3 linked regions of the Arabidopsis thaliana genome follow. The protein of the gene in region 1 interacts with the protein of each later gene in a pairwise test. Each region holds a gene or a part of one and is shown in the gene's direction. Other genes may lie near its edges.

Region 1 (4,938 bases):
AAATCACTCAGAGTGCATTGTATGGTTGCATAAACCTCACATGTAAATCTCAAACGGCATAATGTCACCTGAAACTTCATACCAAACCAATTTTCAAAGATTAAACATATACTGGAGAAAATGATGTAACATGTCAAAGCACAGTCAATTTCTAAACAAACACTTTAATCTCAGGAGAAAGAAGAAAAACAGATTGCTTGGATCAACCAACCTCGTGGATTCTGAAACTTTGTGAATCTTGTTTCACGTTTTTTTCCATCAAATTTATAATTTTGATAAATTTGGAATCCAAATTTCAGAGTATGGCCGAAGAGAAGATGGCCGGAGAGGTTTCAAGAGATATCCATTAAAATCCAAGAGCGGTGAAAGTGAGAATAGGCGTTTTTGTGACGAGTCGAGAAGAAGAAAATTCGATCTCGGAACAGTAGAAAAGTAGCTCGCGGGAAAGATATCGGAAATGTTGCCGTTTCGGTGGTGGAAGGCATTGCGGCGATGGCGTCGTCAGATTGTGGTGACAAAGACAAATCGAAATTGAGGAAATTGGGAAATTGCGAAAACCGGGTCCACGGAGAATACGGAATGTCGACCACAGTGGATTATTGGTCGGTGAAATTAAACACGTATAATAAAATTAAAATAAAAGCTCAAAAAGTGGGAAACCCGCGACAAGCTAACCTCCTTATTTGTGGCCACGTGTATGGCCACCATCTCACTTCGTTGATGAATGTCTAGTAATGCCTAGTAAGAAACCAACATATATTATTCAATTTAAAAATATATGTATTTAATATTTTACATTAACTATAATATTTAAATAGTAATTCAGATTAATATTAATATTAATAAAATAAATAAATTCTTATCGAGACAAATTTAACGGAACGAATTTTAAAAATAATATTAATAAAAAAATTAAAATATCATTAATATATTGTTTTAATATAGTTTAAGTTTTAAATTTATTATTTTTTGATACTATCAATATTATACATATAAATCAGTCTGATTTACAAAAATTATATAAAATAAAATATATATAGTAATATAATGTTTTTAGTAACAATTAAATTATAAAATATAAATATCTCAGAAAATGATATAATTTAAAAACTTATATATAATAAATAATTTTTAATTTTAATATTTTTATTAAATATTACATGAGATGAGTTAAGAGATTACAAGACGGTTTATATTGTGGAACGGATTATAGTAGATGAGTTTGAATCAATATTTATAAATTTTTAAAATATCAGTAATATGCTGGTTTAATACGAATTAAATCCTCAAGTTTTAATTATTGTTCTTAAATTCGTGGTATATGTTACTTAATAACAATCGTAAACAAAACAAAAAAAATATTATATAAAGATAAATAATTTAAAATTTTATATTTTATATATATATATATATATTAGAAAAAAAAATTATCATGCGGTATATTACGGATTTAAAATCTGGTTTTATAATATACACCTCCCAATCAAAACAAATTTTACAACTACACCAAAATATTTGTCCCTAATTATTTTGAGACCTTAAAATCTTACAATGTAAAATTTGGTAGGGGCCTTAAATTATTATTTTTTTTCTTTCTAACAATATCCACACGCTTTTATGCCGACATGGTCCAGGTGTTTTCAAACTACATATTTTATTATTTTTCGTCAACCGTGAAATAACTATTTTATATTTCCTAGAATTTTTGGTAAACTGAATAAAAAATATAAAAAAATGCAAGTAACGACGGAAGAAATCATAAAGTAATAAGAAAATAATTTAAAAGAATGGGTACATGCGTCAAGCCATGACATTAACAAACAAACCGAAAAAAGAAAAAAACTCATCTTTCTCCAAAATCACACAAATCTTCTTTATTTGTTATTCTCAATCCTTCCTTCATCCCCAGGTTTCTTTCGATTCGTTGAGTCATTCAATTTTTCCATCACTGGGTTTTTCTCTCTGAATCCGATCGGAGAATCCAGTCGATTACTAATCTAGCGCTCTCTTTTTTTCTACTCGATGACTTATCACGAAGAAGACGATACAGTTTCTGAATTTCGAGTTAGAGTTGAAGAAGATGGAGTTGATAAATTAGGTCATTATGTTAAACTTACTGAAGATTTCGAAGTACATCGACAAGAAACAGAACAAGAATCTTCATCATCACCGTCTTCTTCTTCTTCATGTGGACAGAAACGATCTGTTTGGTTTTGGATCAAGCTTGGTCTTTTCTTCACTTTTCTAACTGCTTTGGGTCTCGCTGGTTACAAATGGCTATACCCTTTAATCATGGATAAGGTTTTCAATTTCCTCCAATGATTTCTTGTTGAATTGATCTTCTTCTGAAAGTCTTCTTCTTTATCTATTGGGTTTGATTATAGTTTCAACTACTGAATTAGATCCTTAGTGTATAAAAGAGGTTCCTTTATGATTTTGGTTCATGTGAATTGAAACTATGTATCCCTACGATTAGCTCAGTATCCAATAACCAAAGTGAGGTTTCGTTGTTGATGTTCTGTGTCTAAAATCGGTAGATTTTCGATGCTGGTGACAAATTCAGTCAGTGACATATTTGGCTCTGTTGCTGATTATGGGATTATCCATTTAACTTTTGTTTGCAGGAGCTAATCCCACTCATAAAATGGGAGATGGAGACATTTACACACCCTGTGTGCGGTATTCTTGTGTTTGCATCAGTCTCTTTATTCCCTGTGATACTTATTCCAACTACGCCGTCAATGTGGGTGGCTGGGATTACATTTGGTTATTTCTATGGCCTTCTCCTTACTCTTCCAGCTGTAGCTATTGGTGTTTCACTTCCTTACTTCATCAGCTATCTCTTCCTCAACAAAATTCAAGTATGTGTCTCGCTTAAGAACCAGTTATATTCTTAGTAACGACTACTTTGTATGTTGCTGAAATTGATGAATGTTGCAGGGTTGGTTAGAAAGATATCCAGATCAAGCTGCAATGTTGAGAGCTGCTGGTGGAGGCAGTTGGTTTCATCAGTTTCGTGCAGTTACCTTAATCCGGATTTCTCCATTTCCTTTTGCTGTATATAATTACTGCGCTGTTGCAACTCGTGTGAAGTTCGGTCCTTACATGGCTGGTTCTCTCGTAGGCATGGCGCCGGAGATTTTTGTCGCAATTTATACGTAAGTGTGGAAATGACTTACAATTTTCTTGGTAATGAATGAATGATTGATTTAGCATCCTGATAGTATTTTTGTTTGTTTTGGTGTTTGCAGAGGGATTCTTATAAGGACATTGGCAGATGCATCCACTGCGGAACAAAAGGGTCTCTCGATTCTTCAAATTGTTCTCAACATTTTTGGTTTTGTAGCAACTGTTGTGACAACTGTTCTCATCACTAAGTATGCGAAAAGACAGCTTGAAGTTATGAAGAAGGAGAAGGAAGCTTTGTTGTTACAGTAATGGAGACAACAACCTCAGAAGTTATGTCTCTGCTTATTCCCAAAGTACAGGTTTTCGTCCATGATGTGAAAGAACTCTTGATTTTTGGTCTCTGTTTTGGTTTGTTTATAGCCGAGAAATGAAAGGGTATAAAAGAAATTATAATGACTATATAAACACTAACTAAACTCTCTAACACGATTTAATCTTATTTGCGTTTTCTCAATCTTTTGTTTTTTGATGTTTGAAAAGAATGGATCAATTGAAAACTTAAGATCATTACTCCTCCTTCGTTTTCTCGTTTATATTCTCTAGTAAGTATGAACTAACTATGAAGATTGGAAATTGTCTAATTGGTAAATAGTGCAAGTGTTGTGTCAGATATTCGTAGGTGACTAGTGAAAACTTGCACTTCGAATATTATGGGCTGCATTGAGAAAAAGCCCAATATAGCTTAGATGGCCATTTAATTGTTTCTATCAAAATCAAATGCGTCTCTTTTTCGAACTATAATGGTCAAGAGTTATTTGTAGCCTACGAGTACGACATTGCTATGCGTTCGACATATTAAATGGTGGAATTGAAGAAGAAACCTTAGCTATGATTCATCACAATATGTATGATCTATATTTTTTCAATTTGAAATAATGGAGTTATTCTAGACCAAATCGAATCTTTTGTTAAATGGATTTCTACTAAAATTAATCAAAGACTGTTTTAATTACCATTTTTTTTTTTTTGCGGTTTGTGAAACCAGTGTGAATCTGCCCAAGTGAAGAGTGCGAGAGATAAGAGGAGAAGAACTATATGGAGAGTTCTTGGGGATTTGAAGCTGCGGTTTTTCTAGTATCGGATTTGGACATCTATATTCTGCTTGAAAATTCACACTAGAAAATGAAGTGCTTCTGCGAGTCATTTGTCTCTTGCATAAGATACAAAGTGGAATTGAAATAACTTTATGTGAAATATATATAATTCTAAAATATGAAGCTAAATATAAACCAATTTTCTACATAAGCTTTTTCAAATTTTAAAGATATACTTACAAGAATCGATCAATAATTGATTCAGTTTTTTTATTTTTTTTTATTTTTATACTGGTGCATTTGAAGCTCTCCTAAGTCCTATAACACAACAAATATGTTCAACTACTCTCATCCCGAAATAAATGTTGTCTTAATTCCCTTCAAAAATGCTTTTGGTCCAAAACCCAATATCCTTTGAAACACTTTTGTCTAAAAGTATATGTAAAGCCATTTACATTTTGTCCTACCTATGAACCACAAAATTAAATATTTGTCTTATTCTCTAAATATTTCTTTTAGATTAAAGTATGTGTATTCAATCAGCAGTAAAAAAGTTACATGTCAAGACTTAATGTAGTTTGCATTTTCTGAATATTCTGGTTTGAATTAAACTATATATGCTTCTGACTCGGTACCACTTTCAACAGTCTATCTATGTGTCTTTTTCATGCGAATAAAATCCATTGCTCATTAATGGTAATTTGTCATCTGGTGA
Region 2 (4,882 bases), on another chromosome or scaffold:
TTACGTAACGAGCTGGAAATGAAAGGAGACGAGATCGAAACTCTCATGGAGAAGATCAGTAACATCGAGGTTAAGCTACGCTTGTCGAACCAGAAACTGAGAGTAACCGAACAGGTACTAACAGAGAAAGAAGAAGCTTTCAGGAAAGAAGAGGCTAAGCACTTAGAGGAGCAAGCATTGCTTGAGAAGAATCTCACCATGACACATGAGACTTATCGAGGTATGATCAAAGAGATAGCAGATAAAGTGAACATAACAGTAGATGGGTTTCAATCCATGTCAGAAAAACTCACGGAGAAACAGGGGAGATACGAGAAAACTGTAATGGAGGCATCAAAAATACTGTGGACTGCGACGAATTGGGTGATAGAGAGAAATCACGAGAAGGAGAAGATGAATAAAGAGATAGAGAAGAAAGATGAAGAAATAAAAAAGCTTGGAGGAAAAGTAAGAGAAGATGAAAAAGAGAAGGAGATGATGAAAGAGACTTTGATGGGACTTGGAGAAGAGAAAAGAGAAGCGATAAGGCAATTATGTGTTTGGATCGATCACCATAGAAGTCGTTGTGAATATCTTGAGGAGGTTTTGTCTAAGACCGTTGTGGCTCGAGGCCAAAGAAGAGTGTCGCAGCGAACTTAAGGACTCAGTGCCATGGTACGTTGTTTATCTTTCCCAAGCCTAGTTTCCACCTCACATGAATGCAAACAATGAAACAACATATATGTGTTTATTAGGTTTTGGACTCTGGTCAATCAAGAAGCTGGTGGAGAGGTATTTTTGGTTGGGGACTTTTGGTGTACTTGTGTTCGATTTTGTTGCACTTTTATATGTTTGTTAACTTTTGTTGTATTTTGTAAGTCAAAATTTTTGGTTTATTGTGGGCAAAGTTGGTGGTGGTTTTTATGGGAGGTCAGGGAATAAAGGGGCTCACACAAATGGAGTTGATATTTTTTTTTCTTTGGGCGTCGGATTGTATAGAACGATTAAATGCTACTGTTGGTATAGTGCTTTTGCTTGTTTGGAATTTGTTATAGTATCATCTTTGCTCTTTCATAACAAAATTATACACATCGCTTTACAGAGTTTCGTTCTCTCATTCATTTCTTATTTTATTGGGTTTTTTTTTTTTGCATTAGCAGTCGTTATATCTCGCCTTGAATTTCTAATGTGAACTAGTTTGAAATGTTTGAAATGTTTATTCTTTAATAGCAACCACTTTTTTTTCAAGTGTTTTTCACAACCGAAAAAGTCAGCCATGTGAATGATACACAAAATAAGTCAGCCAGTAAGGTTTGGTGATGTTAGATCAATCAAATATTTGAGAAAAAATTCCATAACTAGTTGATATTTCCTAAATCGAAGTTAATTGAAAATTAAGTACAATTTGGCAATATCTTAAATTATTAAATTTTAAATAGAAACTCTATTCACTTTTATGAGTTTATGGAAACACACTACTTTCTCCTCTAAAATCAGACAGTGATTATACTTTGACCTTAAAATTTGAAAAGAGTCTAACACGTTATAATTCCCAATTACTTTATTATCTGATTAATTCACCAAGATACATTAAATCTAAAATTATGTGATAGATATTCATATAAATCATATTGGATTATTCCAACAAAAAAAAAACTCTTAAAATTTGTTTCCTTATTTACAAACAATACATTACTGAAAATTTCTAAATAAAATATCAAAAAGTAATTTCAAAACCTTGTTTTGTCAATTTAATATTTTTATTTTTACAAAAAAAAATCTGAAACATGCAAAGAAGCACAAGTAAAGTACAAGTGGAAATGTATGAAAATAGGAATCATAAAACTAATTTTTTAATTTAATGATAGGAATCTGAAAAAAGCAAAATTTTATCACATCCCGAATAAAGAGGAAAATGCAAAATATGTCTCCTTTTCTCACTATGACAGGTTGTTTCTTTAAAGAAGCAACGGAATTTAACATTATAGCAAACATTAACTATCACCAGCTATCATGCGCCCACCTCTCCACCGTGCTCTCCATCATCATCATTCCATATATAAATCATTCACTTGTAGAATCTTCTTCTCTTTCACACTAAAATTCATCGATGACGGATCCTCCCAGACCCGACCCGTTTCCTGTTACCCGACTCGATTCCGACGCCGGTGCTCTCTTCGTCCTCCAATCAAAAGGTTAAACCCATATATTTATGATATCAATCTCCAATTTTGGAATTTTAACTGATTTGAGAATTAATTCTCAGGCGAGTGGTGGCACGCCGGATTTCATCTAACGACGGCGATTGTTGGTCCGACGATATTGACATTACCATATGCGTTTAGAGGATTAGGATGGTGGTTAGGGTTTGTTTGTTTAACGACGATGGGACTCGTTACTTTCTACGCTTATTACCTCATGTCTAAGGTTCTTGATCACTGTGAAAAATCCGGCCGCCGTCACATCCGTTTCCGGGAACTCGCCGCCGATGTTCTTGGTATCATTCAAAATCTCTTCTTTGTATTTATTAATTTGCTTTTTTTGGATAAATCCGTAAAGGTTGGATCGTGTTTCGATTTGGATACTTTGACTTCTTGTTAGATTCGCCATCATCACACGTGTCTTAGTTTACCGTACCGGTCTAGGTTAGGCCTGTGTATTTCGGTTTATAGATCGGTTTACGTCATAAAGTCTGGTCTTTCCGGTTATTGAGTTTTGGGTTTAAGGGCCGATTTCGAATTTTGAGCCGGTTATTGTGATGTGGTGCAGGATCTGGATTGATGTTTTATGTAGTGATCTTTATTCAAACAGCTATCAACACTGGAATTGGTATTGGCGCCATTCTACTTGCAGGTCAATGTCTTGATGTAAGAAAGAAACCTAAATTTTGATTACTTGTTAAACAAGGTACTATAAGAACCGTACGGATCATCCTCTGTTTTTGTGTTACTACACAGATAATGTATTCGAGTCTTTTCCCGCAAGGAACGTTGAAGCTTTACGAGTTCATTGCTATGGTGACTGTTGTGATGATGGTTCTCTCACAGCTTCCAAGTTTTCACTCTCTTAGACACATTAACTGTGCGTCTCTGCTTCTCAGCTTAGGATATACTTTCCTCGTCGTTGGGGCTTGTATCAACCTAGGTATAATGATTCTTACGTTAGCGAAGAAACAACAACTTACTAATGTTCGAAAATTTAGATTCATTGCCCAGTTTTGGTTCTACAGGTTTGTCGAAAAACGCTCCTAAACGTGAGTATTCTCTAGAGCATTCGGATTCAGGGAAAGTTTTTAGTGCCTTCACATCAATTTCGATCATAGCTGCTATTTTCGGAAATGGAATCTTACCCGAAATACAGGTGAGAAATGTTTGCAATTTATTCAATACAAACATTGTATGTTATGTGTTTGAGATTTATGAGATGATTATATGTATGCAGGCAACTCTTGCTCCACCAGCCACAGGGAAGATGTTGAAAGGACTATTGTTGTGTTATAGTGTGATCTTCTTCACGTTTTACTCTGCTGCAATTTCGGGATATTGGGTTTTTGGTAACAATTCGAGCTCTAATATCCTCAAGAACTTAATGCCTGATGAAGGACCGACTCTGGCTCCTATCGTGGTGATTGGCTTAGCTGTCATCTTTGTCCTTCTTCAGCTTTTCGCCATTGGCCTTGTAAGTTTATAACTAGTGTGATCGTTATTCGATGTTACTTGGCTGTGAGACGAGTGACTAAATGTTTCTTTTTTTTGGTAACTGGTTAGGTGTATTCTCAAGTTGCGTATGAAATAATGGAGAAGAAATCAGCGGATACAACAAAAGGGATATTCTCAAAACGCAACCTTGTGCCGCGTTTGATACTAAGAACACTATATATGGCGTTTTGCGGGTTCATGGCAGCGATGCTACCGTTCTTTGGGGATATAAACGCGGTGGTAGGAGCGTTTGGGTTTATCCCACTCGATTTCGTGCTGCCAATGCTTCTATACAACATGACCTATAAGCCAACCAGACGGAGCTTCACGTATTGGATAAACATGACGATAATGGTTGTGTTCACTTGTGCAGGACTCATGGGAGCTTTCTCCTCCATTAGGAAACTTGTTCTTGATGCTAATAAGTTCAAGTTGTTTAGCAGTGAAGTTGTTGATTAGATGGTTTTGATAGTGTGATAAAAACATAAACAATACTTGTTTTGTGGTTACACTTGTACATGAATTTCTCGAGTTGATTCATTATCACACAAAATGCAAAACCAAACTAGTTACAAAATGCAAAACCAGACAAGGATTATCACACTTACGTCAATTGTTCTTGAGATGAATATGTTTTTTTTGTTAAATGATTTTCTATTTAAATACAAAGTTCCTTTGGGTATAAACACTAAACAGATTACTGGGTTCAGTAAACTCTCTCAGAGTGTGTTAATTTTCAGTATTCGTAGCTGATTGGTTCGGTTTCGGACCGATTGGATATCCACCAATCCGAAATAATACATTACATATTATTAATTTTATGCTCAATTCGGATCGTGTAATTCAGAATTTCATATTTGATATAGTAAATTTCAAATAATTTTGATAATTCTGATCGGATAATTCGGATATTTTGGATTTCATCGGATAATTCAAATCCAAATAAGAATTAAAACCATACATATTTTGGTTTCGAATACACTTGGGATTCTAAAATATCAATAAAAACCGATTTAAGTCTAAAAAAATTAGAATCATAAAATTGTTTGGATTCTAATCGGATTCTATCAGACCTAATCTAATCTGATCCGATCCAAAATTCGAATGCCCAGACTATCACATACTATGGTCATGGATTTCGGAGCGGATACTCCAATCTCATTTGCATTTTGTCTTCTTCTTCTTTTTTTTTTTAATTATTAAAA
Region 3 (7,632 bases), on another chromosome or scaffold:
CTCTATCTCTCTCTTTAACTGTATCTTAAACAAAAAGAAAGAGTATGATCATCAGAAGAAAAAAGAAACAACAACAATGGAGAGACAAAAGAGCATGGAAGCCAGTTTACTCAGGAAGAGTCTCAGCATAAGAGAAAGGAAACACCCAAATGAAGATGGTTACCCTGAATCCAGTTTACTCAGAAAGTGTTCAAGCATTTTATTTAACACCTTCTAGGCGTGAAATGAAAGATCTAAATCAACAGGGGTCAACTTAACTAGCATTGAGCTCTTCTCTAAGTGATGAGACTATGCAACTATATATCATGAATCAAACATTAAACACCCTAATCTAGCCTAACGATCACCTATGAATGAGACTACTCAATTATTATGACAATTAAAATACAAAATGTAAGAAAACTAAAGATTATCAATAAATTCTAAAACAATTGAATAAATGTTAGTGATGTTAGCCCAAAAGAGTTTAGATCTAAGAGGCTACTGAAAGTAAGAGCAAGACGGCTACTTTAGGTAATGTTTTGAGTGAACTTTGCTTTGTATTATTTCACTTAATCTTTAGGTTACAACATGGTTCCCTTTTATAGCTAAACAATGCTAGGGTTTCAATGATTGTAAACTGACAGCTGTCTCTGTCTTATCAAGCTTCGGAGGTCACCAAACAACCAAATCTGTTCTTTGTGTTGATTGGATCCGTACAGACGCTCCTCTTCTCTGTCTTCACTCTGATTTGTTTTCTTGCACAGGTGGTGGTCTTGTCTGTTGAGAAGAGGAAGAACACTTGTTGGGCTTCGTTGTTGTGTTGGTTGTGTTGTCATTGGGCCTGTTTGGTGAGTGGCCCAATAACCATTTTCCTTTGTTAAGCTGAGCGACGTCGTTTTCTTTCTTTGACTCTTTAGCTGAACTTGAGCTCTGCTTCGATCTCATTTCAGATCTTGGAGCTGTTGATGGCGGAGCAGTGGAGCTCTTGCTAATAGCTACTACAACTAACCATAAGTGAAAACTATATATGAAAAGCTTAGGATTTTAGTTCTTATATGATAGTATTTATATGAAAATATAAGTGTATCCGGATCGACCGATTCAGATTGGGCAAACCCTTAAAGGAGAAGTAGATAAATGATTGATCGTCTGGTCGATTACCATTATAAATCTCATGAAATACGTATGTCTTTCCTCTTTTTCGTTGAAGGACTAACTTTTTTCAAGAGAGATTTACCCGTTCGATTGCTACTGGTCTTAGTTTCTTCTTACTCGAACTCGTTATTCTCTTCTTGGTTCTTTGCTTGTTCCCATCTATAGAGTGTGTGCTTCAGATAGTTTCATAGACCTATTAAAAGATAATATATATTTGCAATGCATATGCTCTAGGATCTTAAATTCAAATCAAAACTAAAAATACAAAAAAAGAAAAGAAAAAACAAAAAAAAGAAGACATAAACCTAGTTGTTTAAACCACTAAAATACAAACGCATAAACTTACTACACATGAAAATGAAACGACTACATACGACTGACTACTTTGCATATATATATTTGTGAATTACTCTTCACTTTTTCTCTATATATAATAACAACTTGAAGACAAAGACAAAATAATAAAATAACCTTATCTCTTCTCTATATATTAGTTCTTGAGATCTCTCCAACAACTCTACTTTGTCTTTACTCAAGTATTTCACTAAGAAAGATAGAATCACAAAAAGGAAAGAGAAAATGAGAGGAGAAATCGATGAAGCTAATCTTGCTCCTGAAACTTCACTTATTAACAAAGAGAATCAAGACTCATCGGCGACAATAACAACTACTCTCTTGCTCACCACTTTTGTAGCCGTGTCTGGTTCCTTTGTCTTTGGCTCAGCTGTGAGTTTACAATTACTAATTTTTGCTTTTGTTCAGTAATTGTGTGTTGTGTTTTGTGTTTGAATCTTAATTTCTAATTTCGTTGAAAATTTTGGCAGATAGGATATTCATCACCTGTTCAGTCGGATTTAACCAAGGAGTTGAATCTCTCTGTGGCAGAGGTAAACTGTTATTTTATTTTTTTGTCTTTTAATTTATTATGCCATATGTTTTTGTTTGCTAGCTAGATAGGTAAAATATACTTAAGTACATTTAACTTATGTGTATAGTATTAGTTACTGATCTAATCAATGAGTATGGATTGAGGCAGTAGTTTTTTTTTTTTTTTTTAATTGAGGCAAGTAGTTGTGAAAGGGTTATGATACTAGAAGAAAATAATGAGTGGAGAATTAAAATTTAAAGGATTATCTCACTATTTTTGTACTAATAATGAGTGGAGAATTGACGGAAAAAAAAATGAGTGGAGAATTGAATTTTTGTACTGTAGACGTACTGGTCCTACTCCAAATGCTTGCATGTTGAGATAAATTAGTTGTGTCCGGCTATTAATTATGATCTCTATTTCGGTTAGAATTTTTTTTCTTTTTTTTTCTCCGTCTTGATTTAAGGTTTATAGGTGTGGAAAAAATATCATTTAGTAGAAAATTAAGAAATAAGCATACCTTTACGAAAGATGACAAATTATATAAACATCATCGTAAAAATCAAGATATATCACCTATAAATGTTTTTAAACTACATGCAGTACTCGCTCTTCGGTTCGATTCTGACAATTGGAGCAATGATCGGCGCAGCTATGAGTGGACGAATCGCCGATATGATAGGCAGACGAGCTGTAAAATTTGTTCTTCTTTCTTTCCATGACAAGCGAATATTTACATTTTTGCGTCAAACTGGTAAATAAATCATTTATTTGTGTGTGTGTGTGTGATTAGACTATGGGTTTCTCGGAGATGTTTTGCATTCTCGGCTGGTTAGCAATCTACCTTTCTAAGGTTAGCTTAGTATTTTTCTATATATCTCTCTGTATTTCTCATCAACTATATTTCTTCAAGAAGTACTTAAAATTTACCATGTGGTTTTTGTCTATTAAGGTTGCAATTTGGCTTGACGTTGGGAGATTCTTGGTTGGTTATGGAATGGGCGTTTTTTCGTTTGTGGTAAAATCTATAAACTCTAGCTAGTAGCTTGAATAATGAAAAATATTGTGGTGATTACAAGAAAACAAATTCGATGATCAATTGTAAGATGAGTGACCTAATGATCTAAATAAATATATCTCTACTTTTCTTATATATCTATTTACAATAAACATTAGCCTTCTACAATTGTTAATTTCTTAAAACGAAAGCTATATTGGTCATATTAGATACTAGATTATATGTTGAAACTATTTGTTGCCCCCAAGAGTATGATATTTCATATGTACTACTAGCTGGTATTCCGGCTTAAAATTGCGCATGCGAGGAACAACACAATGAAAAGATAACTTCTTCGATTTATGTAGCTGAAAGTTGTTGCTAGCTATAGTACAGTAGATTTTGTATCGTTCTTTCATCTAGATTGTTTTGTTAATCGATGATCAGGTTCCTGTATACATAGCTGAAATCACTCCTAAGGGTCTTCGTGGTGGGTTTACAACTGTTCATCAGGTATGAATATGTTATACAATAACTAAATTAGTTTTTATGAATATGTTATACAAGAACTAAATTAGTTTTTAAAAATTAAATCAGAAGTTACAAAATATATACTCTAAAAGTATTATTTTCATCTCCATCGATCTTTAACAGTGTTAACATTGCAGTTACTGATATGTTTGGGTGTCTCAGTCACATATCTCTTGGGCTCTTTTATAGGCTGGCGAATTTTAGCTTTGATCGGTAATATCCGTCAACATACTTTAAATAAGTTACTCATACTAAAAAATTGTTAATTAATTTTTTTTTTATGCTCCAGGAATGATACCATGTGTTGTACAAATGATGGGATTATTTGTCATCCCAGAGTCTCCTAGATGGTTGGTACGTTATCCGTCAACATACTACAAGTTTAATAGTTTTTATGTACCTAATGCCAAATCTAGTCTATCCAATCATTACGCTAAGTAACCCAAAACTTTCATTGTTATAGAAAATAATTGTTCGCAAAAATTCTCAGGCAAAAGTTGGCAAATGGGAAGAATTTGAGATTGCATTGCAACGATTACGTGGTGAATCCGCAGATATTTCATATGAGTCTAATGAGATCAAAGTAAAGTAACACTAAATTCTATTTCTTGAGCTCACTACATTTTTTACAAATTTCCATTAAAGTGTAAAATCTCCTGTATTTCTATATTTTCTAGGATTATACGCGAAGACTTACAGATTTATCAGAAGGTAGTATAGTAGATCTGTTCCAGCCACAGTATGCTAAATCTCTAGTTGTAAGTGTTTTTAACTTATAAAATTGTTCAATAAGTAGTTATTTTCATTATTCTATGATGAAATGCCAAGTGGGTTTTAGGTGGGAGTTGGTCTGATGGTTTTGCAACAATTTGGAGGGGTTAATGGAATTGCTTTTTACGCTAGCTCTATTTTCGAATCTGCTGGTACATGCACCTTTAATATTGATTAATGTGCCTAAACCCCAAAAATTAAAAAAGAACTTCACTAACCAACTTAATTTTTTGTTTTGTAGGGGTTTCTTCCAAAATTGGAATGATTGCGATGGTGGTCGTACAGGTAAGTTTTTGGGTATTATTATTTTATTTTCCCCAATTTTTTGATGGTTAATTAAGTGAATGAATATATATTTATATAGGGTAACAACACAACTAATACAAATATATATTACAAAAATAATATAATTATACTAAAGGATTTTTAGGGAAGAAAAACCTGAGAAAGAAAGAGAATATATAATGTTAGAGTGTGAATTGTTTCCATTCGAAAGAGAAGGAAGAGAGCAGGATAGCGATCAGTCGCGACGACTAATTCCTGGAGATTGTTGATCGATGCGATAGGTCGCTGGATCTGTCGCTAAATTTAACGACTACCAAACGACCATCACTGGCGACTACTAAACGATCATGACCATAAAATTATAAAATGAACACACGCTTCTCCGATACAAACCAAATCGTTCTAATCTGAGTTTCATTTGTTTACCTATCAAATACAAAAATTAATCTGACCCAAAATTTATCCTATAACAAGATTATAGAGAGATAAACCCGTAGAGGAACCATATATCAAGGTAACATGTTAGAAATACCTAACATTAAAGAAATGAGACGTTGAGTGATATATGAATAATATGGTCTAATCCACTTTTGTTTTGAATTGAAAAGCCAAAATAATTACAATTAATATATAATTGTTTAACATTTAAAATTCAATGTATCATTTCTTAAAATTATTTGTAGCTGAGACGAATTTTCTTTCCAGATCCCTATGACAACTTTAGGTGTACTGTTGATGGATAAATCAGGAAGACGACCATTACTTCTAGTAAGAAAAAACAAGTGACTAACATTTTTTTATAATGTTATTAGTCAAATACAAAGTAATTTTTACAAGTACCTTTTCTCACTATATTAAAAATAAAGTTTTTAAAGAATTTATGTTATAACTGTAGTTCCAACTTATTATTGTTTTTTTATCTTTTATTATTATTATTATACATTGGTGGATAATTATATATTGCCTCCCTAGTCCCTATATATATGTCAATATGTATATGTTGAAAGAATTACATATAATGAATTTAATATTTTATCTCTTCAGATTTCTGCTACTGGAACATGTATCGGGTGTTTCCTCGTCGGTTTATCATTTTCATTACAGGTTCTCTCCTTATTTATATTTTAAAATAATATCTTGATTTTATCTATTTTTAACATATTATGTTTTAGTATATTAATATCAGTATAAAAATTGAATATTTTTTGTCTACAGTGGTGCCATATGACTTTATTGTTACCATAATTATAATTTTTTCTTCTAATAGAGATTTAATATATTTTCTCGATCTATGTCTAGATCTAGATGATAAATATCTAGAAATATTAATTTTTATTGTTTGATTGTATATTAATATTAAAACTTCTCAAGTAGTTGCATATATGCTTCAAAATGTTTATAATTTCATATTATGTACTATAATTTTTGGGTTCATCCTGTTGTAGTTTGTAAAGCAATTGAGTGGAGATGCTTCATATCTAGCACTTACAGGCGTTTTGGTAAGTTTGACGACTAAAATCTAGATTTCCTTTTTTTTTATCCTCAATTTGAAAAGTTTGAAAATAGTTGATATGAATATGATAGTTTTGGCATACTGAAACGTTGCTGTTTGAAAGTGGGAATGACTGTACCAATAAGATGGTGCATGAAAAAAATAGAAGAACTGATATACACATCTATATCATCAAAATACGTTTATTTTTCCTGTAACTCGTTCTGAAAGAACTATATAGTAGACGTGTTTGAGTTGAAGGAATTTTACGATGAATGACTTGCTAAAACAAATTTCCGAATACTATGTCGGTGAGGAAAAACTACTAGAAAAGAACAAATAATATCATTATTGTTATTAACAAGTATTTCGTGGCTTCTGGGATAGCGAACCAACTATTGGATGAAATTAGAACCCACACACATACTTTGAAAGATCGTAGACGTCCATAAATGATAAATTTATCTTATTTTTTCAGGTGTACACCGGATCATTTTCATTAGGGATGGGTGGGATTCCTTGGGTCATTATGTCAGAGGTAAGTAACATTCATAAAAATTCTTTGGTTTTAAACATACTCTTATACTTAATAATCCGATCGATGTCTTAAGAAATATTAAACTTTATATCATAAACCTACGGTTTAGTATTAAAATTAAATAATAAATTATTTAACTCTCATATGGTTGTATGTGGTATGATTTTGATCAGTGTATATAAATTATGTTCCTTTATGATTTATTTATTGATTCTTTGTTTATATAACATTTTAATTCAATTTAGTTGGTGCGTAGATATTAATTTTATGTTTTATATGATAAAGATATTTCCAATAGACATAAAAGGATCAGCCGGAAGCCTCGTGACTGTTGTTAGCTGGGTCGGATCATGGATTATATCTTTTACATTTAACTTTCTAATGAATTGGAATCCGGCAGGTATAAAATTTGTTTAAATTTTGCTTTTATCAATAAATTTTGTTCTTTATCTAATAGTGGCACAAGTTTTAAATTTTCAGGAACGTTTTATGTTTTCGCTACTGTTTGTGGGGCTACTGTTATTTTTGTAGCAAAACTCGTACCAGAAACCAAAGGTCGCACACTTGAGGAAATCCAATATTCGATTGGTTATGTAGAATTGTAATGTATAGTAGTTGATTACGAGAATATCAGTCCCTAATTATAACGATTAAAAGTAAGATTTTTTATTTTTCTTCTTTCCTTTTGGTATAATCGTATCATCCTTTTTGCTTAGTGAATTTGAATAAATGGTGTTGTTTTTGGTTACCAAATATCGGAGAACATAATTGAAGGTGTCGAGGAAAAAAATCGAGGTTATGACGAGTTTACAACTTCTAAAGACAGTGAAAGATATTCGAAGTTTTTTTGGACATATATGTTGGGTTCTACAAAAAAATTATAAAATATTTCTTTGAGATAGTTAGACCGCTTACAAAAATGTTATGTATGGAGGTCAATTTTGATTTCATGGATGAGTGCAAAAAATCAATTTTAAAAAATGATTGTTTGACAAATATCCATTCAAAATATA

What was found. Proteins that work in one complex are often made in the same cells at the same time.
Region 2: the proteins of AT4G12000 (region 1) and AT5G41800 interact in a protein complementation assay, tested with the Arabidopsis thaliana proteins (one large-scale study listed by BioGRID).
Region 3: the proteins of AT4G12000 (region 1) and AT1G54730 interact in a protein complementation assay, tested with the Arabidopsis thaliana proteins (one large-scale study listed by BioGRID).

Annotation. Positions count from the first base shown.
Region 1 is NC_003075.7:7,192,027-7,196,964, reverse strand, and holds AT4G12000 (SNARE associated Golgi protein family), read left to right. Parts: upstream 1-1,748; 5' UTR 1,749-2,022; coding exon 2,023-2,301; intron 2,302-2,624; coding exon 2,625-2,861; intron 2,862-2,940; coding exon 2,941-3,158; intron 3,159-3,251; coding exon 3,252-3,438; 3' UTR 3,439-4,432; downstream 4,433-4,938. Other genes in the region: AT4G12005 (uncharacterized protein), read right to left, coding at 1-74, 212-259.
Region 2 is NC_003076.8:16,731,753-16,736,634, forward strand, and holds AT5G41800 (Transmembrane amino acid transporter family protein), read left to right. Parts: upstream 1-1,910; 5' UTR 1,911-2,089; coding exon 2,090-2,174; intron 2,175-2,245; coding exon 2,246-2,476; intron 2,477-2,748; coding exon 2,749-2,846; intron 2,847-2,936; coding exon 2,937-3,123; intron 3,124-3,208; coding exon 3,209-3,339; intron 3,340-3,420; coding exon 3,421-3,657; intron 3,658-3,746; coding exon 3,747-4,136; 3' UTR 4,137-4,341; downstream 4,342-4,882. Other genes in the region: CIP1 (COP1-interactive protein 1), read left to right, coding at 1-639.
Region 3 is NC_003070.9:20,422,755-20,430,386, forward strand, and holds AT1G54730 (Major facilitator superfamily protein), read left to right. Parts: upstream 1-1,591; 5' UTR 1,592-1,716; coding exon 1,717-1,863; intron 1,864-1,961; coding exon 1,962-2,024; intron 2,025-2,608; coding exon 2,609-2,698; intron 2,699-2,798; coding exon 2,799-2,858; intron 2,859-2,957; coding exon 2,958-3,023; coding exon of another isoform or gene 3,024-3,047; exon of another isoform or gene 3,048-3,449; coding exon 3,450-3,515; intron 3,516-3,670; coding exon 3,671-3,746; intron 3,747-3,822; coding exon 3,823-3,887; intron 3,888-4,023; coding exon 4,024-4,116; intron 4,117-4,210; coding exon 4,211-4,291; intron 4,292-4,371; coding exon 4,372-4,456; intron 4,457-4,545; coding exon 4,546-4,589; coding exon of another isoform or gene 4,590-4,640; exon of another isoform or gene 4,641-5,294; coding exon 5,295-5,357; coding exon of another isoform or gene 5,358-5,375; exon of another isoform or gene 5,376-5,633; coding exon 5,634-5,693; intron 5,694-6,034; coding exon 6,035-6,088; intron 6,089-6,559; coding exon 6,560-6,619; coding exon of another isoform or gene 6,620-6,691; exon of another isoform or gene 6,692-6,904; coding exon 6,905-7,019; coding exon of another isoform or gene 7,020-7,036; and 4 more. Other genes in the region: AT1G54720 (early-responsive to dehydration protein-related / ERD protein-like protein), read left to right, coding at 77-173, 646-783, 870-1,000.